3 linked regions of the Ovis aries genome follow. The protein of the gene in region 1 interacts with the protein of each later gene in a biochemical or structural test. Links are inferred from orthologs where the notes say so. Each region holds a gene or a part of one and is shown in the gene's direction. Other genes may lie near its edges.

Region 1 (4,202 bases):
TTATTGACCAGTTTATCACACTTTAAAATATCTTTTTTCTTTGGTTGCACCCATGGGGGAATGTGAGTTCCTCTATCAGGGATCTAAGGCCGGTCCCTTGCAATGGAAGCACAGAGTCTTAACCACTGGATGACCAGGGAAGTCCCCTATCACGCTTTCTTACACATACATATCATAATTGAGATGAAAAATATTATTCTTTCTTGTGACCATAAAACTCTAGGTTTTTAGAAATATTTCTTCTGGGTTATCATTACAATTATTATGAGAGCAGAAGTGATAAAATAGCATAAAGATTGTACACATTTTCATAACTTAAAAGTACATGTAAAATGAGATAGACGAGATGGTGTTTATGATGCCTTAAAAGAAATAGGCTACATGTCATTTTTTTAAATTAGAGGATAATTACATTGCAATATTGTTACATTTCTATTTAAGACAAGGTAAGGGAAATCCCTGATGGTCCATCAGTTAGGACTTGGTGCTTTCATTGCTTGCGCTGGGGGCCAGTTCCATCCCTGGTTGGGAAACTAAGATCCCTGCAAGATTCAGGGCGTGGCCCAAAACAAACAAAAAACAACCAAGGTAAAACAAGGTAAAGTTATCCCTAGATTTCATGGTTAAGAACTATACCTTTTTTCTTTTTTTCCTTTTTAAATAGAGAGGGAGAAAGTCTATTGTAAAAGAGAAAAGGAAGGAGAAGCTCTAGTGCAAGCATTTATTCAGGAAAACAAATTTTGGGAAAACTGAGACTCTGGAAATTAATCCTTTATATGTCCCAAATCCAAGTATCCTTAGGCGAGTCTCCGTGTTCCCCAATTTAAGACTACAGGCTTAGACGACTGGAGAGAAGTGGTGTAGGATTCTTTAATGGGAGTGAGGGTTTGAGGGTTTGGAACTCCTGAGGGCTTGGGGATGTAAGAGACTGTGGTCCTAGAAAGTGGCAAGATGCTCACCCTCTGTGGAATTCTCCAGGATGCGGGAAACTGAGAGATTGGAACCATGTTAACCTTTCCGGTTTCCTCAGAAGTTCACCTCTGGGCCCAGCTTTGCCTCTTCGAGCCCCTCCAGTTTCCGTAAAGTTGGTTTAGGGTGAGGGTGTGGGCGAGGCGGGCGCCAATGTTGGTTTCTTCTCTCTTCCTTCGTCAGCTCTCCCAGAGGAAGAGGAGGAGACGAGACTCAAGGTATTTTACGAGCCTCGAGCCTCGTTTCTTCTCACAGCTCTTACAGATTCTGCTCAGAGCCCCCTCCCCACATTGCCTGTCCTCAGGCCCTAGAGGTCCTGGACAAAGCACAGCCTCCTTGTCATCAGCGCCTGCGCCTCGGGAACCCCCTCCAGAAAACGGCGGAGAACCAACTAGGTCCCACCTACTTGGTTGGTCATTACTTCTGTGGTGGAGCTTGGAAAGCACGCCAACAATCGCAATAATAAGAACACATTTGTATAGCGTGTTGTGCTCGTTTGTATGCGTGTGTTACGACTTCATGATTGGGAGATGTAGGCACCTGGATGTAGAAGTAGCTTCTGGGCAGCTGCAAGGGAGCGCGCAGACCACAGAAAGAAATGACAGGTACAGTCGACTGAGCCGCGGAAACCGGGACCTGGCAGGTAGGAAAGTAGCGCCACAAGGCTTGTCAAAAGCCCAGCGGCTAGGAAAGGTTTCATTTCCCTTTTAAGACACTCCTGCCTTTCCGTGCCTCCCTGTTCAGCCTTGGAGGGCCCAATTCCTCACCCCGCGCTGTTCCGTTATTTCCTCCCCCGACCCGGCCCCCCGCCCCCCCACGTAGAAAGGTGGATCAGTCCTCCCCGCACGCGACTAGCGGTGGTTGGGCCGGGATGCGGGAAGTTTCTGATTGGCGGAGTCGCGGAAGCACCGGGTGAAAAGAGCTCCACTGACGGCGGGCCCCGCTCCCGGCGCAGCCAGAGCCGTACGCCAAGATGGCGGCCCCCAGGTATTCAGGACGCCCGGAGGCGACAAATCCGCCCCCTGCAGGTCAGGGTGAAAGGAGCCGCAGACGAGGTGGGCGGCAGGGGAGGCTCTAGGAGGGGCGGCCCTCCCTCCCTGCCTGCCTGCCTGCCTGCCGGCGGCACAGGATTCCGTGCGACAATATGGCCGCGCCCAGAGCGTGTGGGCGGAAGCTCCGCGGCTTCCGGTAAGAAGTGGGGCCTGCGGTGGGAGGGGGAAGGAAGACGGAGGGAACCATGCGAGGTTCTGAGATCCGCGGAGAGGGTCGCCTCGAGAGACCGTTTCTGAGGTGGGGGCCGGACGGTGTGGGGAGCGAAGGCGGGGGCAGGACTGTCGAGGGAGAGGTACTGGGGAGTCCCCGGCGCGGAGTCTGAGGGGCAGGCTGTGGGATCCTCCTTCCTATCCCTGAAGGGGAGTGGGGCGGCCAGGGGCTGAACTGGGGGAGGGGGACTTGGCGGGAAGCTCATTTAGGGGAAGGACTGGACTCAGGGCTGGGATCTGAGAGAAATCGGGAGAGCCCAGCGTGGAGCTCACGATTGGTTACAGGTCACTGAGAGAGAATGGGGGAAATTAGGGTGGGGTGAGAAGGAGGGGACTTGGGGTGAAATATCTTCAACCTAGCGCTTCGGTTTGAGGAGACCCATCAGAGGGTGGAATATAGAGATAATTTAAGTAGGAGAAAAGGGAATGGATTGTTGGGAGGGAACCTCCTTCTCAAGGGGTCTCCGAGTTGGGGTTATCTTTCAGAATGGGGTGAGAGTATAGATTTGATATGTGTGAGAGAGAGCGAACAGGGAAAACGGTGGTGCCAGCGGGGCTGTGGTGTCTGTTCGAGAGAATGTCAAGGAAATCTGTAGTGCAGCGAGAGAGGTCGTCCAGGGGTTGAGAGGAAGACTCAACTTGGCAACTCTGAGAAATAGTGGGGAAAACGAGACTGAAAGACCGGATACATGCGTGGGGGGTGGAGCTGGAGGTGGGACTTCAGGTTTTCAGAAGGTTTGGAACTCCCCTAGTAAAGGGCCGGAAAAACGTACAGTACTAATGCTTGCTGAAGCTAGGAAATGAGGACACTGTTGGGCATGGCTGGGTGCTTTTGAAACCCAAGACTGGAAAACGTGTGAGATGAAGGGATGGGGCGGTGCTGGAGGGGCTCTGTCTGAGGCCCCATCCCCTTCCAGCAGGAATTACGAAATCCCCAACACTTCCTCCCTCCGGGGGATTTGATCCCCTATGGCTACCGCTAACAGCATCATCGTGCTGGATGATGATGATGAAGATGAAGCAGCTGCTCAGCCAGGGCCCTCCCACCCACCCCCTAATCCGGCCTCACCCAGGGCAGAAGCCCCTGGCTCCTCTCAGCCCCATGGGGCTGGAGGAAGCAGTAGTTCGGGCGGCAAGAAATGCTACAAGTTGGAGAATGAGAAGCTGTTTGAAGAGGTGAGCTTTAGGGGAGAAGACTGTCGTGCCCCAGGGAGGGGGATGGCTGCTTGGCTCTGTCCTTTCTCCCCCACTAACCCCACCTCACCTTTCTCTCAACCCTATCCTTTTGTCTTTTTCTCCTCCCTTTTCCCCCGTGAACCTTCCAGTTCCTTGCACTGTGTAAGACGCAGACGGCGGACCACCCTGAGGTGGTCCCGTTCCTCTATAACCGGCAGCAGCGGGCCCACCCTCTGTTTTTGGCCTCGGCGGAGTTCTGCAACATCCTGTCTCGGGTCCTCTCTCGGGCCCAGAACCGGCCAGCTAAGCTCTATGTCTACATTAACGAGCTCTGCACGGTTCTCAAGGCCCACTCAGCCAAGAAGAAGCTGAACCTGGCCCCTGCTGCCACCACCTCTAGTGAACCCTCTGGGAATAACCCTCCCACAGACCCCTCCTCGGACCCAAATGCTGAGACCACTGGCTCTGAGGCCCCAAGGACCCGTGGTTCCCGGCGGCAGATCCAGCGCTTGGAGCAGCTGCTGGCACTGTATGTGGCAGAGATCCGGCGGCTGCAAGAAAAGGAGTTGGATCTCTCAGAATTGGATGACCCAGACTCCACTTACCTGCAGGAAGCAAGGTTGAAGCGTAAGCTGATCCGTCTCTTTGGGCGGCTGTGTGAGCTGAAAGACTGCTCTTCACTGACAGGCCGGGTCATAGAGCAGCGCATCCCCTACCGTGGTACCCGTTACCCAGAGGTCAACAGGCGCATTGAGCGGCTCATCAACAAGCCAGGGCCTGATACCTTCCCTGACT
Region 2 (4,051 bases), on another chromosome or scaffold:
AAGGACCTGGTGTTGGAACAGGTAGGCTCTTGGAAGTTAGTTGGTCAGGACCACTGCTCACTTGACCAGCTCTTCCTCCCTGCCACTCTCTGCTTCTCTTCCCCAGATCCCAGAAATCTGGGAGCGGCTAGAGCGAGAGAACAAAGGCAAGTGGCAGGCTATCGCCAAGCATCAGCTGCGGCATGTATTTAGCCCCTCGGAACAGGACCTGAGGCTGCAGGCGCGAAGGTGAGGCCTGCTAAGCCAGCAGAAGAGGAGAAGGGAGGCAGCGGCGTGGATGTGGGTGGGGTTGCCCCTGTCCCCCCACCCACAGGTCCAGCAAGTCCTTCCGGACCCTTTTTCCAGGTGGGCTGAGACCTACAGGCTGGATGTGCTCGAGGCAGTGGCTCCAGAGCGGCCCCGCTGTGCCTACTGCAGTGCAGAGGCCTCCAAGCGTTGCTCCCGGTGCCAGAATGAGTGGTATTGCTGCAGGTGAGGGCATCCTAGGACCTTGGACCCCCATTCCCATACCCCTCGGATCACTGCATCTTCACCGGCCCATTTGCCTGCAGGGAGTGCCAAGTCAAGCACTGGGAGAAGCATGGAAAGGCTTGTGTCCTGGCAGCCCAGGGGGACAGAGCCAAGTGAAGGCTGCAGCGGCTGAGGGCCAACCACCCGTGCCTACAACCCACTCAAGTGTCCCCCCAAAACCTCTGGATCTCAATCTGGCCTCTGCAAGTGCCCCAGCCTCCCGGGTGGTGAGGATAGCAGGCGGGAAGAGCTGTTGACCCATCTCCCCCCATCTAAGCGCTCCCCACTTCCTGCTCTATCAGGCGCGAAGGCTTAGGGTGCAGCCTCCCCAAGCTGGGGCAGGAGGCCTGGGCGGGGGGCGGGGGGGAGGGGACAAGGGCCGGATGTGGGGACCCTCTTCCTCTAGTACTGTAAAGTAAAGCTAGCTTCCACAAACACGCCTGTTTCCTCGTGGCCCCTTGAGGTCGTCGTGGTTGTTAAGAGGAGGGGAGTGGCTCGCGGGATGAAGGGAGGATAGGAAACGGAGGGCGGGGACTCTGAGAGAGCAGCCCCCAGCCGCACCCGCCGTCCCACTCCGCCTGCGGGCCGACACAGCGCGGGCGCCCAGGTTTCCATTGCGCGGCTCTCCTCTGCTCTCCCGCCGCTCTGCCTGAATCCTGGAGGCGGCGCCGAATCGGGGCCCGCCCCGCGGCCCCGCCCGCCCCGCGCTCGCTAGCGCCCAGAACCGGCCGGAGACCCGGCCCGACCGGGCCATGTCCGCTGAGCCTGAGCTCATTGAATTGCGGGAACTGGCACCCGAACGGTGCGCCGCCCCGGGGCGCACTCGGCTCGAGCGTGCCAATGCATTGCGCATCTCGCCGGGCACAGCTCGCAACGCCGCAAGGCAGCAGGTCCCGGGCCGGGGCCACCGCTTCCAGCCGGCGGGGCCCGCCACGCACACGTGGTGTGACCTGTGTGGCGACTTCATCTGGGGCGTCGTGCGCAAGGGTCTGCAGTGCGCGCGTGAGTAGCGGACCCAAGAGCTGGCGGGAGCGAAACGGGCAGCCAAGGGACAGCCCCGTCGCTGAGGGCCAAGTTGCGATGGAGGGGGTCAGGGGGGACAGTTCCCACAGACCAGGTCTGTAACCTTTGCCCCATAGCACAAGAGAGTGCGGGCTGATAGTTTATAACCTTGCCAAGCTCCACCTGCCTCTGAGACAGTTAGGCAAACGTGCTTCTCTGTAAACAAGGTACTACTTTCAAGTTTAACCAGTGCCTTGGCCCTTCTTGAGAAAGGCTTGTTCCTGTCAGTCTCTGGACTCACATTCTTACACTTACCCCTTTGGAAAGATTCACTTGCCAAGTCCCCCAGGAGAATCCCTGTGGTGAAGGGAACTTACCCACCTATGGGAGAAGGCCTGGAAATAGAAACTTGGGCACAGGGCTACAAGCAGGAGTTTTGAGTCTGTCTTTAGCAAATACCTATTGGAAGTTCAGTCAGCCAGCTGCTAAAACATGAAACGCAACCACACGCCAGTTGGTGCTTCTGCCCTCCCAGAAATCACCAGCAAGCTGAGGTTGCTGTCTCACTGGCCATACACCATCTAGAAACACTTGGGATGCTTTTATAGCCCTCCAAACCTCTACCCTTGGATCTTACTGCAGACCTGTTGAATCAGTCAGGTCACTGAGAGTGTACCAGCGATTTTTAAAAACAGGTCATTCTAATGTGTAGCCTGGGTGGAGAATCACTGCTCTGGCCCATTTAGGAACTTAGGGAAGATGTCCCAAGCCTGTGTGTGATGGAGACCCTCTCATCTAGTACAGGAGTTTGTCTTTATTCAGCTAGGACGAGTATGGGACTTGTGGCAGCATACAAAAAGCATGAACAAGGGCTGGGAAGATAGCAGTGTTCCCAAGGAGAAATAAAGTGGCCATGGGAATGAAAAACAGGACAATTTGGGTGTGTGTCAGAAGCAGAAACAAGAGAGGCATCAAGGATGAGTTGGGGTGGTTTGGTCTGGTTTTTGTTTTTTGCTGAGTTGAACTCTGGCAAGGGCAAGGGTGAGGAGAAGTGAAGAATTAAAAGGAGTAGGAAAGTGAGTTAAATGTTGGCCATGTCTGGTTGAATTGTTTATTGGACAGCCAAATGAAGATACTGACACAGAATTTGATCTCAAGGAGGTCAGATGGAAGCCTTGGATCTAAGGTAGGTCAGTGTACACAGAGAAGAAAAGCGATCAGGACTGGGCCTCGGACTCTCCACCATTAGATCTGGAAGCTGAAACAGAACTAAAGCCCCCTGAACAGGGATTACAGTGAGGTGGGAGGAAAACCGCGGTAGTGAGGGCCCCCGGGGAATCCGGAGAGCAAGCATCAGACGATGCTGAAGAGGTGAAGGGACCACCGCATTCCGCGGTTCGGTCTCTGAGTTCCCTGGAGGGAGGAGAGCAAGACTGGAATGGGTAGAGGATGAAGGCGAGGAATTAAGTAAGAGACCAGTGTTGGTAAGTTTTGTGTGTAAGGGGAATAGAGAAAAATGACACGAAGAGGCACTGAGTTAAAAGTTTTTTTGTTTCCCCCTCCAGTAAATGGGAGGAGGGAGGGACGCTGATAATGAGGAAGGGGAAGTTCTGCCCTAGGCGCTAGAAATCCAACTGTTGAGCAGGCCTGGATCCCTAACAGCATGAAGTCTTCCCTGCCAGTTTCCAGGCCCGGGGCGGGGGGGGGGGGGGGGGGGGGGGGGGGGGGGGGGGGACAGAACGGGGAGGCGCGGCGGCAGGGGAGACTCTAAAATCTGAGTGGCAGTGGGTGTTAACGGGGACTAAGATAAGGCCAGTCATGGAGAACACGACGAGCAACGGCCTTCATCCCGGGGCTTCGCTTCTGTCCCCGGGACGCTCCTCCGAGCTGGTTGCTGGGGTTCCTCCACCTTATGGCCAGGCCTCTCTGCAGATTGCAAGTTCACCTGCCACTACCGCTGCCGCGCGCTCGTCTCCCTAGACTGCTGCGGGCCCCGGGACCTGGGCTGGGAACCGGCGCTGGAGCGGGACACGAATGTGGTGAGCGCGGGACCGGGGAGCTTACGGGCAACGCAGGGATGCGTGGACGAGCGGGGCCACATTGGAGGCGTTCCCTAGGGCCGCCCGGCGCTACGCGCAATAAACGTTTTGATAGCCGACTTCCCGGAGGCAGAGAGTGGCTAATTCTGCGCGCGGGCTCCAAGGGGTGCCGGGGGGTGCTGACTCGGCCCTAACCGCCCGGAGCCGCCCAGACTGCGCGCAAGTGCAACTTCCGCACCTTCCCGCAGCTGCATCCGGCCTCGAGGCCACGCTGGTGCACACGCGCACAAGCCCCATAGTGTCCCTTGGGAGGCGGGGCCTGCGAGACTGCGCTGAACTGAGCTGCCCCAGGGCTGAGATCATTCTTGGAGGCGAGGCGTGTGTGACCCCGCCCTTCGACATCCCTCCTCCAATGAGATGACAGCTATGTCTTGGCTGTCTACGTTTCAGTGTTAACGGTTGCGGCTCGGACACTGGTTCCTGCGCACGCACACTCATAT
Region 3 (3,586 bases), on another chromosome or scaffold:
GGGACCAGATGCAAGCCGCGGGATTGGCCGTGGTACAGCCGGTGCCAGGGGCACACCCTGTGCCAGTGTACGCCTTCTCCATCCAAGACCCCTCCCGCAGAGAAGTAAGATATTCCCCAGCCCTCCCCTCCCCTTCCCAGGGCCCGGATCCCACTAGGTGGTAAGAGGTGGAATGGAAGTGAGAACCCAGACCTCAATAGGCACTGACTCTGCACTCTCCCAGCTCTTGGTTGCCGTGTTAGGAAGCTTCCCTCCAAGCAGGAGCCCCTCCCAGGGCAGTCAGAAGCCAGCAGAGATTGGTGGTCAGTGGTCACCAGCAGGGCCAGTGTGCCTGCTGACTTGGGAGGACCTCTGTGTAGAGAGGTGTGATCCGCACGGCAGATAGCAAAGGGGACAGGAGGAGCAAAGGGCATGGGGCGGGGAACAGATTCCTGCCACTCAGGTCTGGGTCTCTGCCCACGGCCCCAGTCCCCTTGGAGGCTCCTGACCCTGCCCTGTGACACCCCACTGCACAGGAGGGCACCCACACGCAGAAGAGGAAGGCCTGCCAGACCGAGTGCCCCCGGAAGGTCATCAAGATGGAGTCTGAGGAGGGGGAAGAGTCTAGGTTGGCTCAGAGCTCCCCTGAGCAGCCCAGGCCCAGCACCTCCAGGGCAGTCTCGCCACCCCACCTGGATGGGCCCTCCAGCCCCAAGAGCCCCATCATAAGAGATGAGCTCCCCTTGCCTGAAAGCAACCATCAAACCGGCGACCCTGCAGAGACAGGTAGGGAGTGGGGATGGGCAGGATGGGCTGAGGCCTGCATGCTGTCTTCCAGGGGCTGGGTGGGACCCCTCCTCTGCATCCTCACGCCCTTCCCAGGAAGCCCAAGGCAAGCAGCATTCCCTGTGTGTCTTGCCCTCAGCTGCCACCAAATGGGGAAGGGCAAGCCCAGGGTTTGTCTGGGGGGGGCTAGCGCGGATGGTTTAGCCCATGCTTTTCTGGGATGCCCATATAGGGAGCATGATAGCCTGGGGAACACATTTCCTTAGCTCCTTCCCCTGACACACCCTTTTTGAACCCAGTACCATGCCTCTGCACAGGATGGGTCTCCCCAAACAATGTTTGTTGGTGGGTGTCTAGCACATGCTCAGAGAAGACTTGGGTAAAGTCCACACCCGTCGGTTCCCAAATTTTTTTTACGAAGGCCATCCACCTAAGGTATCTCGCTTGCTCAAGGTATCTTTTATGGCCACTGCCAGACAGGGAGTCCTTTCATGTGAGTGGAGGTCAACCCCCAGAATCCTGGAATGTTCAAGACTGTTCTTCCTGGAGCTCTTTTACCCAGTGTCCAGCATTGTTTTCATTCTAGGTCCCACACTGACCCCTGTCCCCGGTCACACTGAACCCTGACCCTGGCCATACACTCAGCCCCAATGGAGAATCCTCGCTCACAAATGCTATTGGTAATCAGGTTTTGTAAACCTAAAGTATCTTTTAACTCAAACATCTCAGCTCACAGAGCTGAGAATTGGAACAACCAGTGTGCTGCTTTAGGATGGTCAAAGGTTCCAAACCAGGTGGTGCTTGTCACACCCCCTCCACAGGTAGTCAGTTCTGAATCATTCCAGGGCCAGTAGCTGAATTAAGTCGTCACAGACAAGGCATAGCAGGCAGTGATGGAAAGCCACCTTGAGTAACCCCTCCGTACAGGCAGATCCTGGCTTCCCAGGTGGCCCAGTGGTAAAGAACACGCCTGCCAACACAGGTAGACATCAGAGAGGCAGGTTCGATCCCTGCATTGGGGGTCCCCTGAAGGGAGGCACAGCAACCCACTCCAGTATTCTTGCCCGGAGAATTCCACTGGCAGAGAGGCCTGGCGGGCTACAGTCCACAGGGTTGCAAAGAGTCGGACATAACTGAGCGACTAAACAGGCAGATCCACGCTGGCACACACGCTGAATGTTGACAGCCCCCTTGCAGGGCACATGTTACCCACCCAGCCCACTGGCCTGCAAGGATTCCCACAGGAGAACACCCTGGGCTCCATCCACGAGCAGCCCTGGCAGGGCCTAACCCTGTCTCCCCTGCTCCGTTTCAGAGGAGCGCGTCGTGGTGATCAGCAGCTCGGAAGACTCAGATGCTGAAAACCCGGTGAGTTGCTCAGAAGTCTGACCCAGGACACTGCCTCCCCCCATTCCAGGTCCCCAGGGGCACAGCCCCAGCAGGTGACTCTCAGACTCACCTCGCGCCCAGGGGATTTATCAGTGAGGCAGTGAGTCCTGAGCTGTCCGGAGGATAGTCTCCAATTGCCAGCTGTGGCCTGGATCGCCCCAGCCCTCCCATCGTACCAGGGTAGGAGCCATCAGTAATCACACGTACTCTTTCTGAAGGCCTGGACAGGGCTTCCCTTCAGAGCCCTATATCTTTTCTGGACTAGCCAATGCCTGTGTCTGCGGCTTCCTTATGCATTGTCTGCCCTCCTAAGTCTCAGTGAGGGGGGCGGACCTGCACCCGTTCCCCGGTTAACGGCAGTGATGCAGGGCCACATGGGGGTATGAGGGTGCAGGGCAGCACCACGCAGGCCCCAGACTAGTACACTGTGACTCCATGTAAGCAGAACTTCCTTTAAAGCCATCCCACAGTGGGACAAGTGGCCGCACGGGTTGTGACCCTCCTGTCCCTGGAGGTTTGTTCATAGCGGTTCATAAAGGCCAGGCTGTCACCTGCCCAGGGGTGAAAGGGATCGGAATTAGAGTGGAAGGCTGGACTGGGTGGCCCCTGAGGCCCCTGCCAGCCTTCAGTCTGAGGTTCTGTGTTGGAAAGCGTGCGGAGCCCACTGAGACCGCCGTCCTGCCTCCTTCCTCATCCATCCAACCCCCGCCGAGAGCTCGCCGAGCGTCCCACTCCCTCCGGGCCTCTCGTCTGTCCCATGGCACATGCCGCCCCTCGGCTTGGCCTCCCCACCATCCTGCCGAGCAAGCTGCCATCCCCGACGCTGAGAGTCCCAGCCAGCCTGCCGGTCACCAGGAGCAAGCTGCCGTCCACCGTGGGATCAGCTTCCTGTCACGTGGGGCGCAAAGAGCCCTGCGCCCTCGCAGCACCTTTCACCTGCCCCTCAAAACGTATGGTGCCCACAGGTGGCCTTGGCCTCCGTCCATGGGTCAAGCCACCACCCCGGCCACCACTGGGCCTCCCAGCCAACCTGCCAATCCCCAGGAGGATCCCACCTGCCCCCAAAGGGCCAGCGGCCAACCCCACCTGGTGCAACTGGCTGCACGACCCCTTGACCCCTTCCCTGCTGTGTCCCAGTGGCTCAACATCTTTCCCCTTCCTCACCCCCCTGGGATCTCCCAGCGTAACACCTTTTATAGGAGAATAATGCGGGGAGGCAGAGCATCCCAAATTCCTGGAGCAGGGGTCTCCCCTGGGGATTCTGGCAGGGCCCCCATGGAAAATCCCCCAGTCCAGGTCCCCCCGGAGGCCTCTCCAAGTGCATTCCTACCACTCCACCCTCTGGAGAGGCCACCCATCAGCACAGACACCCCGCAGACAAGCCTCTGAGTGTCCCAAGCGCCTCCCTCCTCTGCAGCCCTGGAGCTTGGCA

Evidence for each region.
Region 2: the proteins of DAXX (region 1) and RASSF1 form a complex in vitro, tested with the Homo sapiens proteins (4 studies listed by BioGRID and IntAct, with this or other methods). The link is inferred for Ovis aries from reciprocal best matches to the Homo sapiens genes DAXX and RASSF1.
Region 3: the proteins of DAXX (region 1) and PML form a complex in vitro, tested with the Homo sapiens proteins (2 studies listed by BioGRID, with this or other methods). The link is inferred for Ovis aries from reciprocal best matches to the Homo sapiens genes DAXX and PML.

What each region holds. Positions count from the first base shown.
Region 1 is NC_056073.1:7,643,039-7,647,240, reverse strand, and holds the start of DAXX (death domain-associated protein 6), read left to right. Parts: upstream 1-1,369; 5' UTR 1,370-1,612; intron 1,613-1,842; exon of another isoform or gene 1,843-2,157; intron 2,158-2,188; exon of another isoform or gene 2,189-2,314; intron 2,315-3,148; exon of another isoform or gene 3,149-3,151; 5' UTR 3,152-3,200; coding exon 3,201-3,407; intron 3,408-3,556; coding exon 3,557-4,202. UniProt on the Homo sapiens protein: Transcription corepressor known to repress transcriptional potential of several sumoylated transcription factors. Down-regulates basal and activated transcription.
Region 2 is NC_056072.1:50,057,952-50,062,002, forward strand, and holds the start of RASSF1 (ras association domain-containing protein 1), read left to right. Parts: upstream 1-1,230; 5' UTR 1,231-1,262; coding exon 1,263-1,512; intron 1,513-3,444; coding exon 3,445-3,551; intron 3,552-4,051. Other genes in the region: ZMYND10 (zinc finger MYND domain-containing protein 10), read left to right, coding at 1-21, 107-228, 346-471, 552-627. UniProt on the Homo sapiens protein: Potential tumor suppressor. Required for death receptor-dependent apoptosis. Mediates activation of STK3/MST2 and STK4/MST1 during Fas-induced apoptosis by preventing their dephosphorylation.
Region 3 is NC_056071.1:32,241,797-32,245,382, reverse strand, and holds part of PML (protein PML), read left to right. Parts: coding exon 1-104; intron 105-515; coding exon 516-765; intron 766-2,080; coding exon 2,081-2,133; intron 2,134-2,805; coding exon of another isoform or gene 2,806-3,543; exon of another isoform or gene 3,544-3,586.